Linked DNA regions of Arabidopsis thaliana. The protein of the gene in region 1 interacts with the protein of each later gene in a pairwise test. Each region holds a gene or a part of one and is shown in the gene's direction. Other genes may lie near its edges.

Evidence for each region.
Region 2: the proteins of TSB1 (region 1) and TRFL5 interact in a two-hybrid assay, tested with the Arabidopsis thaliana proteins (one large-scale study listed by BioGRID).

Annotation. Positions count from the first base shown.
Region 1 is NC_003076.8:22,265,069-22,268,992, reverse strand, and holds the start of TSB1 (tryptophan synthase beta-subunit 1), read left to right. Parts: upstream 1-2,090; 5' UTR 2,091-2,254; coding exon 2,255-2,596; intron 2,597-2,846; coding exon 2,847-3,203; intron 3,204-3,286; coding exon 3,287-3,729; intron 3,730-3,821; coding exon 3,822-3,916; intron 3,917-3,924. UniProt on the Arabidopsis thaliana protein: The beta subunit is responsible for the synthesis of L-tryptophan from indole and L-serine.
Region 2 is NC_003070.9:5,403,910-5,407,833, forward strand, and holds TRFL5 (TRF-like 5), read left to right. Parts: upstream 1-2,115; 5' UTR 2,116-2,228; coding exon 2,229-3,401; 3' UTR 3,402-3,577; downstream 3,578-3,924. Other genes in the region: AT1G15710 (prephenate dehydrogenase family protein), read left to right, coding at 596-1,672; AT1G15730 (Cobalamin biosynthesis CobW-like protein), read right to left, coding at 3,626-3,763, 3,872-3,924.

The DNA of each region.
Region 1 (3,924 bases):
ATCCGCATGTCCACTTCTGGACTGAATCAAAAACTTCAATACATTTAGCTCATTAAAGCGACCACTATAATTTCTTACCACCACCGTTTTAAGTGTCTTAGGAAGAGACTTATAGGTAAGGTTCTTTTGCCAACATGTTCGTGGACTGATGCCACAATATGACTTATAATATAAACGATGAGCCTTCACATTCTGGGATCCGTCTTATGGGATCTTCACATTCTGGGATAGCCTTCAAAAAGAAAAATACACATATTCCGCTCAAGATTAATGTCTAACGGTCTTAAATATACACCAAATTTAACGTAATCGATTGAAGGTATTAGATAAGGAAACTACATTAAACCATTCACTTTTAATCACTAGACTACTGAAAAGTTTCATACCTAGCTAGTACTATTTTCTTCAGTTCTCAAAGATATGTTAATAATGTAAAATGTATTGTAAATATGTTAAGACTTAAATATACCTGAAGGAGATAAGGGCAGGCACTTAAGGTCCTTGCCCCTCGAAAACTGTTAAGGAAGCCAGAAAGAACTGTTCCGTCTAATTTGGTTATTTGATTCGGTTCATCGTAATCGCCCTCTGCGCAGAAGTCCAAGTAGACTTGTTTTAGTTTCCTATTCATTCTCTTGACATGGAAGGAGAGAATTGAGCCTGATCGTACTTAAAGATCTCTACATTAGGCAGGTCAAAGGAACAAGGCTTTTTAGGGAAGAAGTCGCAGTTATCGAATACGAATTCTTTCATATCTCCTGCAAAGTTCTTGATATCAATACTCCAGCAGTAACTAAGACTTAGACTCTTGAGCGTAGGAGAGTTTGATAACAAAGACTCGGCCTCTGTGAGCTTGATCCAACCAATAGAGAGCTTTCTAGGCAATCCCGAGTTTTTGAACTTGGAGGGATCAAGCCCACACGCGTAAATCTTTAGTGATTCGAGATTTGTGTTTAAAATCCGAATTAAAACCTAATCAAATTAAAACTAAACCAAACCAAATACAATCCAAAATTAAACTAATTTTGGTTGAGTTTGGTTATAGTTTTACTAAATCCAAATTAACAGAACATAACCAAACCCGAAGATTTTTAGAGTCTTTAGAATTTTAAGGTGATTTTAGATAAAAGAGATTAAACACAAATCTCGAAAACTAAAGAAAGAGTTTTTGAAAATTTTTAAGTGTTTTCATGTAAAGTGGATTTCTCTGTGTTTTCTGCATTCTGCGGATTATAACTCCTATGTTTTTTTTCTCCGTCAATTATATGTGTTTATTTTCTCTATTTTCTTTTATTTTTATTTTTATTCTCTATATTAGGGTTTAGTTTATGAAAACTTTTTGTTATCTATATAGGCTTGGGGGATGTATTTAAATTAGAATTTAAAGTGATTTGAGTTCTTTGAGTTTTTAAATAATTTTAACGATTTTAAAAAAGTTCGTATGATTTTTGTAAAATCTATTAAAATCTCACCTTAAATCATGGGATTTGGATTTCTGTATTTTGAACTAAGAAAATCCTCTCAAATCCTCCAAAATCATTAAAATTCAAATCCACAAATTGTTCTGAATAACAGTGAATTTTAAGGTGGATTTTGAAATAATTAGTTCAATAACACTGAATTTCATGAGATTTTTTAAAATACATGTTTGAATAACATATGATTTATAAATTCTACACAAATCTTTTAAAATTCTAATTTCAATACATTGTTTTTGAAAGTGTTATTGACTCTTGCCAATATAGTATCCCAATTCCCAACTTGTGTTTCATTTTTTCATCTATCTAATAAACAATTAGATGAACACAAAAAAATATTGGTAGGTGATGGCTCAATTGGATATGTTTTTGAAAACCATGTGTTAAAAACTTAAAATACTATCCAACTTACCCCAGTCCTACCAACTTTTTTTTTCTTCTCTTGGTCTGCTTACATGTGTCTGCTTATATCTCCAAAAGGAAATAGATATATAAAAATTCAAATTTAAATATTTGCGATTTGTTAAATTTTAATCAATATTTAATTTTTGTTTTTTTTTGTTTTTTTTTATGAAGACAACAAATAACCAAATTTATCAAATCTGATCAAAGCAGATTTAGGATTTTACAAATATATTTTTTTAATATGAATTTTGTGGTCAGATTTTGACCAATTCTCTTTGAAAAAAAAAAAAATCTATCTATAAAAACATGTGTTACTTTGAAAGGATATTTCAAGGAGAAGAATATATTTGACTCAGAGAGAGATTCATTCAGTAATGGCAGCCTCAGGCACCTCTGCTACTTTCAGAGCCTCCGTTTCTTCAGCTCCTTCCTCTTCTTCCCAATTGACCCATTTGAAATCACCCTTCAAAGCTGTCAAATATACGCCTCTGCCATCGTCTCGCTCCAAGTCATCATCCTTCTCCGTCTCCTGCACCATCGCCAAGGACCCGCCTGTTCTCATGGCCGCCGGATCTGACCCGGCCCTGTGGCAACGACCCGATTCGTTCGGTCGGTTTGGGAAGTTTGGTGGGAAGTATGTACCTGAAACCCTTATGCACGCTCTATCTGAGCTTGAATCCGCTTTCTATGCTCTTGCCACCGACGATGATTTCCAGGTAGAGACCTTGTTCTTCGTGATTAGATAAAAATGAGACATTTTGCGTTGTGGGTCGTTGGAATTGTAGCGTTATCATTTGCGGGTTGTGATAAAGTTCGGATCTTGTTGATGGGATATGTTGATTCTAGGGCATTTGAATGAAATTGGTTCTGTTCATTTATGAAATGGTTAGAAATATGGTTTTGGTTCCTCTGGTTCAATGTCTCATTCATGTCCTTTGTGTATTTGTGTGAATGAATCTTTGTTAGAGAGAGTTGGCTGGAATCTTGAAGGACTATGTGGGTAGAGAAAGTCCTCTGTATTTTGCAGAGAGGCTTACGGAGCATTACAGGCGCGAGAATGGCGAAGGGCCTCTTATATACTTGAAGAGAGAAGACTTGAATCACACAGGAGCTCACAAGATTAACAACGCTGTGGCTCAGGCTCTTCTTGCTAAGCGGTTGGGGAAGAAGAGGATTATTGCTGAGACAGGAGCGGGTCAACATGGTGTGGCTACAGCTACTGTGTGTGCCCGTTTTGGTTTGGAGTGTATTATCTATATGGGTGCTCAAGATATGGAGAGACAAGCACTCAATGTGTTCAGAATGCGACTTCTTGGTGCCGAGGTGATGCTTAGGATTCATTTCCATCTCTTTTAAATGTGATAAACTTTGTTACTGAACCTTTTTTTGGGTGTCTGGTGCTATAGGTGAGAGGAGTCCACTCTGGAACAGCGACATTGAAGGATGCGACATCTGAAGCGATAAGAGATTGGGTGACAAATGTGGAGACTACCCATTACATATTGGGATCTGTGGCGGGTCCTCATCCTTACCCCATGATGGTCAGAGACTTTCACGCTGTGATTGGTAAAGAAACAAGGAAACAAGCGTTGGAGAAATGGGGCGGGAAGCCGGATGTCTTGGTGGCTTGTGTCGGTGGTGGTTCAAACGCTATGGGACTCTTCCATGAATTTGTGAATGACACAGAGGTCCGGATGATCGGTGTGGAAGCAGCGGGATTCGGATTGGACAGTGGCAAACACGCTGCTACATTGACAAAGGGAGATGTTGGTGTCCTCCATGGAGCTATGAGTTACTTGCTGCAAGATGATGATGGACAAATCATTGAACCACACTCCATCAGTGCAGGGTAAGTGAAATTCTCTATTCAGATCCGGTAACCATAATAAGTCTACTCAGTTAGCCACGGCTGCATGAACATGGTTTGATTTTCTCTTACAGATTGGACTACCCTGGAGTCGGACCCGAGCACAGTTTCTTTAAAGACATGGGACGGGCTGAATACTATAGCATAACCGACGAAGAAGCGTTGGAAGGTAATGTA
Region 2 (3,924 bases), on another chromosome or scaffold:
AGTATATAAAAATTACTACAAAAGTCAAAATTAGAGTTTTTGTTTTTTTTTTTCTATGAGAAAAACGAGGGAAATATCAATAACCCTCCTAAATCCTAATAAAAATTACTACAAATAGCCAAATTAATAGAAAACCAAAAAACAACAACTATAGTCAGCATATGAAAATTACGAAATTTTCTTTTTAAAGATTCATATATAGGAAGAGATTGAACTTTAAAGTAACAAATCAAAATAAAATTATGGACAAATAAAAACTCTAGTCCTTCAGAAAAAGAAATATTGTAAATGCGGGTTACTAAATACAAATGAATACAAAACAGTACCTACAAATTTCCTTGGAACGACTTTTAATTTTGACCTCAATTTTTTATTTCCATTATGGTCCTTGTGTTGTTGTGTATTTAGCATTTTGTTTTTCTTGGGTCAATCAGCATCACCACGTTTAGGCCACGACATAAAATTGATCCGTTTATTTTTGAGGCTCGCTCGCATCTTCTTCCTCCTTTGGCGCAACCGCTTCTTCCTCTTCTATTCTCACAGATTTCTCTAAGCTCCCAACTTTGGAGCTAAAACTCAATCAACACTACTCACAATGCTACTCCATTTCTCTCCGGCGAAACCCCTCATTTCTCCACCCAATCTCCGCCGCAATTCACCCACATTCCTCATTTCCCCGCCGCGATCTCTTCGAATTCGAGCAATCGACGCCGCCCAAATCTTCGATTACGAAACCCAACTCAAATCCGAGTACCGCAAATCCTCTGCTCTCAAAATCGCCGTCTTGGGTTTCGGCAATTTCGGCCAATTCCTCTCCAAAACCCTAATTCGACACGGCCACGATCTAATCACTCACTCCCGCTCCGATTACTCCGACGCCGCAAACTCAATCGGAGCTCGTTTCTTCGATAACCCTCACGATCTCTGTGAACAACATCCCGACGTTGTCCTCCTCTGTACCTCAATCCTCTCCACAGAATCAGTCCTCAGATCATTCCCTTTCCAACGTCTCCGTCGTAGCACACTCTTCGTCGATGTTCTCTCCGTTAAGGAATTCCCAAAAGCCCTCTTCATTAAATACCTTCCTAAGGAGTTTGACATTCTCTGTACTCATCCAATGTTTGGACCTGAGAGTGGTAAGCATTCTTGGTCTGGCTTGCCCTTTGTCTACGATAAGGTGAGAATCGGAGACGCAGCTTCAAGACAAGAGAGGTGTGAGAAGTTTCTAAGAATTTTTGAGAATGAAGGTTGCAAGATGGTTGAAATGAGCTGTGAGAAGCATGATTATTACGCAGCTGGATCGCAATTCGTGACGCATACTATGGGAAGGGTTTTGGAGAAATATGGAGTTGAGTCTTCGCCGATTAACACCAAAGGTTATGAGACGTTGTTGGATTTGGTGGAGAACACATCGAGTGATAGCTTTGAGCTTTTCTACGGTTTGTTTATGTATAATCCGAATGCTCTTGAACAGTTGGAGAGATTGGATATGGCTTTTGAGTCTGTTAAGAAGGAGCTGTTTGGGAGATTACATCAGCAATACAGGAAGCAAATGTTTGGTGGGGAGGTTCAATCGCCCAAGAAAACTGAGCAGAAATTGCTCAATGATGGTGGTGTTGTTCCTATGAATGATATATCATCATCATCATCATCATCATCATCATCATCTTAAGATCACAAGTTTGATTGGATTATGCTAGATTCAAAAATAAAAAGTTGTGACTTTTTTGGAAAACGTCAAGAGTGGAAAATAAAAAAGGGATTTTGGTGTGTTCATATGTATGTTGGGGTCTCTTTTGGCTTGGTATCAATAAACTTGTCTTTTTTTCTCTAAATGTATCTGTGGAAATGCTTATCCCTCTGGTCGCCGGAAACAAATACGGACAAATTGTCTCCTTCTCCGGCCATATTTGTATTGGATCAACATTGTATTGCTCAAAAGTCATTACTGTTTTTCTCTGTCTCCAATGATCTCGGGTCACCCACCCGATTCGGATCAGGACAACATCGTTTCGTTATGGGCCGATTATATAATGGGCCGCTTGAATGTCTCGTCTTATTTAATTAAAAGAAAAAAACACATTTTAAATTTGAATGATTCACACGTGTGTTGTTGCCACCATAGTTGGTCGGAGCTTTTCCTCTTCCCAAAATTGTAACCCTAACCACGCACCGACGGCGAAAACTGATCGCGGGTTTTCGCATCTTTTACTTGCAAAGTCTTGGAAATGGAAGTGATGGACAAATGGGTAGCTGAATTTTTCCTCCGACGCCAACTAAATCCTAGGGTTTACGCTTTTCCACTGTTATCGGCTCTGAAACCAGTAGATTCCGACGACTGTGTAAAACTCAAGCTAACTGCTGTTTTGCGGGATATCTCCAATTCCATGATTCAAGGTACCGTAGACGAAGGAATGCTTGATCTCCTCGAAATTCTTGAGAAGCTTCTGTTACAGGAACATTCGGTTATCATGGGATCTCTCAAATCTGCGTATTGCTGGACTGCTGTGGAATGCACGCTTAGGTTTATGTGGCCAGTGAATGCTTCGGATGGCTTCTTCGGTGATGCCCTTGAGAGGATTTGGAGGAATCGGATTGGGACATTGAAGGAGAAAGAGAGCGACTTGGTGACTCGTGAGTTGTTGAAATGGGAGAGTGATCTAAACAAGGCGTTTGAGGAACCTGAGATTTACCAGAAGATTCGTGAGACTAACATCAGGTACAATGCCATCTCTCATCTTAATCAGCTTCTCAAAGAGCAGTGGGCACTACTTGGATGTTCTTCTCTTGAATCAGAAGCTCGAAAGAGGTTTCTTAAGCGTAAGGATTCACCATATGCTTCCCGGAGAGGAGGTAATAGAGAGAAAGCTAATGATGTTGAAGAAGTGGGTGGTGTGGAGAATCCTGATGGGGTTGGTAAGGTGAATGAACATGAACAGGAACACGAGCCAAGTCTTAATAAGGGGGAAATGTTGGTAGCTCGAGAGCTTAAGGATTTTTTGTTGGAGATTCAAAGACTCATCGACCCTATAACAAGGCAAGATCAAGAACCTAACAATGCAATGGAGCATTCAGTTGATGTCACTCCTCAGCCTGATGGGGCAAATAGGACTGATGCAGAAGATAGTGAGGGAACATCATCGTCTAGAAGAGTCAGGCCTCATCTACCAACCCCGGAACCTCTGAATGTATCACCGTTGAAGAAAGGAAGATTAGAAAGACCGCGTCCCAGAAGGCCAATGAAATTCTGGACTTCTGAAGAAGTGGCAGCTTTGAGGGAAGGAGTTAAAGAATATGGAAAATCATGGAAAGATATCAAGAATTCATACCCTGTTGTTTTCGCTGATAGGAGCGAGGTGGATTTGAAGGATAAGTGGAGGAATTTACTTGGTCGTCAGTAGTAGGAATCTTACCTTCTAACTTATGGGCATTTTGGTTTTGGGATCTTGTGTAGTTTTGCCGCTTGTGTTAGAAAGGGACTCACTTTTTGTACGGTGAAGGCTTTAATATGTTCTTGATTCAGGCTCTTGTAGTTAGTGTCAAGCTTTAGACGATATTTCTTGTTCAAAAATCTATTGACCAGTTGATTACAAAATGGAATGATTTTAAATATTTGGTCCTATAATCAAATCAAGCAAGCTCTGAAACCCATCTCTAACTCCTCCCGGTTCAAATTCTTGCCGATGAAAACAATCTTGTTGGTTCTTGTTTCATCTTTTCTCCATAACCGGTCAGGTGATCCTTCAAATATTTCATGAACTCCCTGTTCCAACCATTATAAACCACAAACGTCAGAGATAATTTACATCCCAAGGCTTCGATGCTTTAGAATTCATCCGAAATGATCAAAATAATGACAAAGGTTGGTCACCTGAAACACGAATCTCTCGTCCATGTCTTGTACGGAGAGGATACCTTTCATTC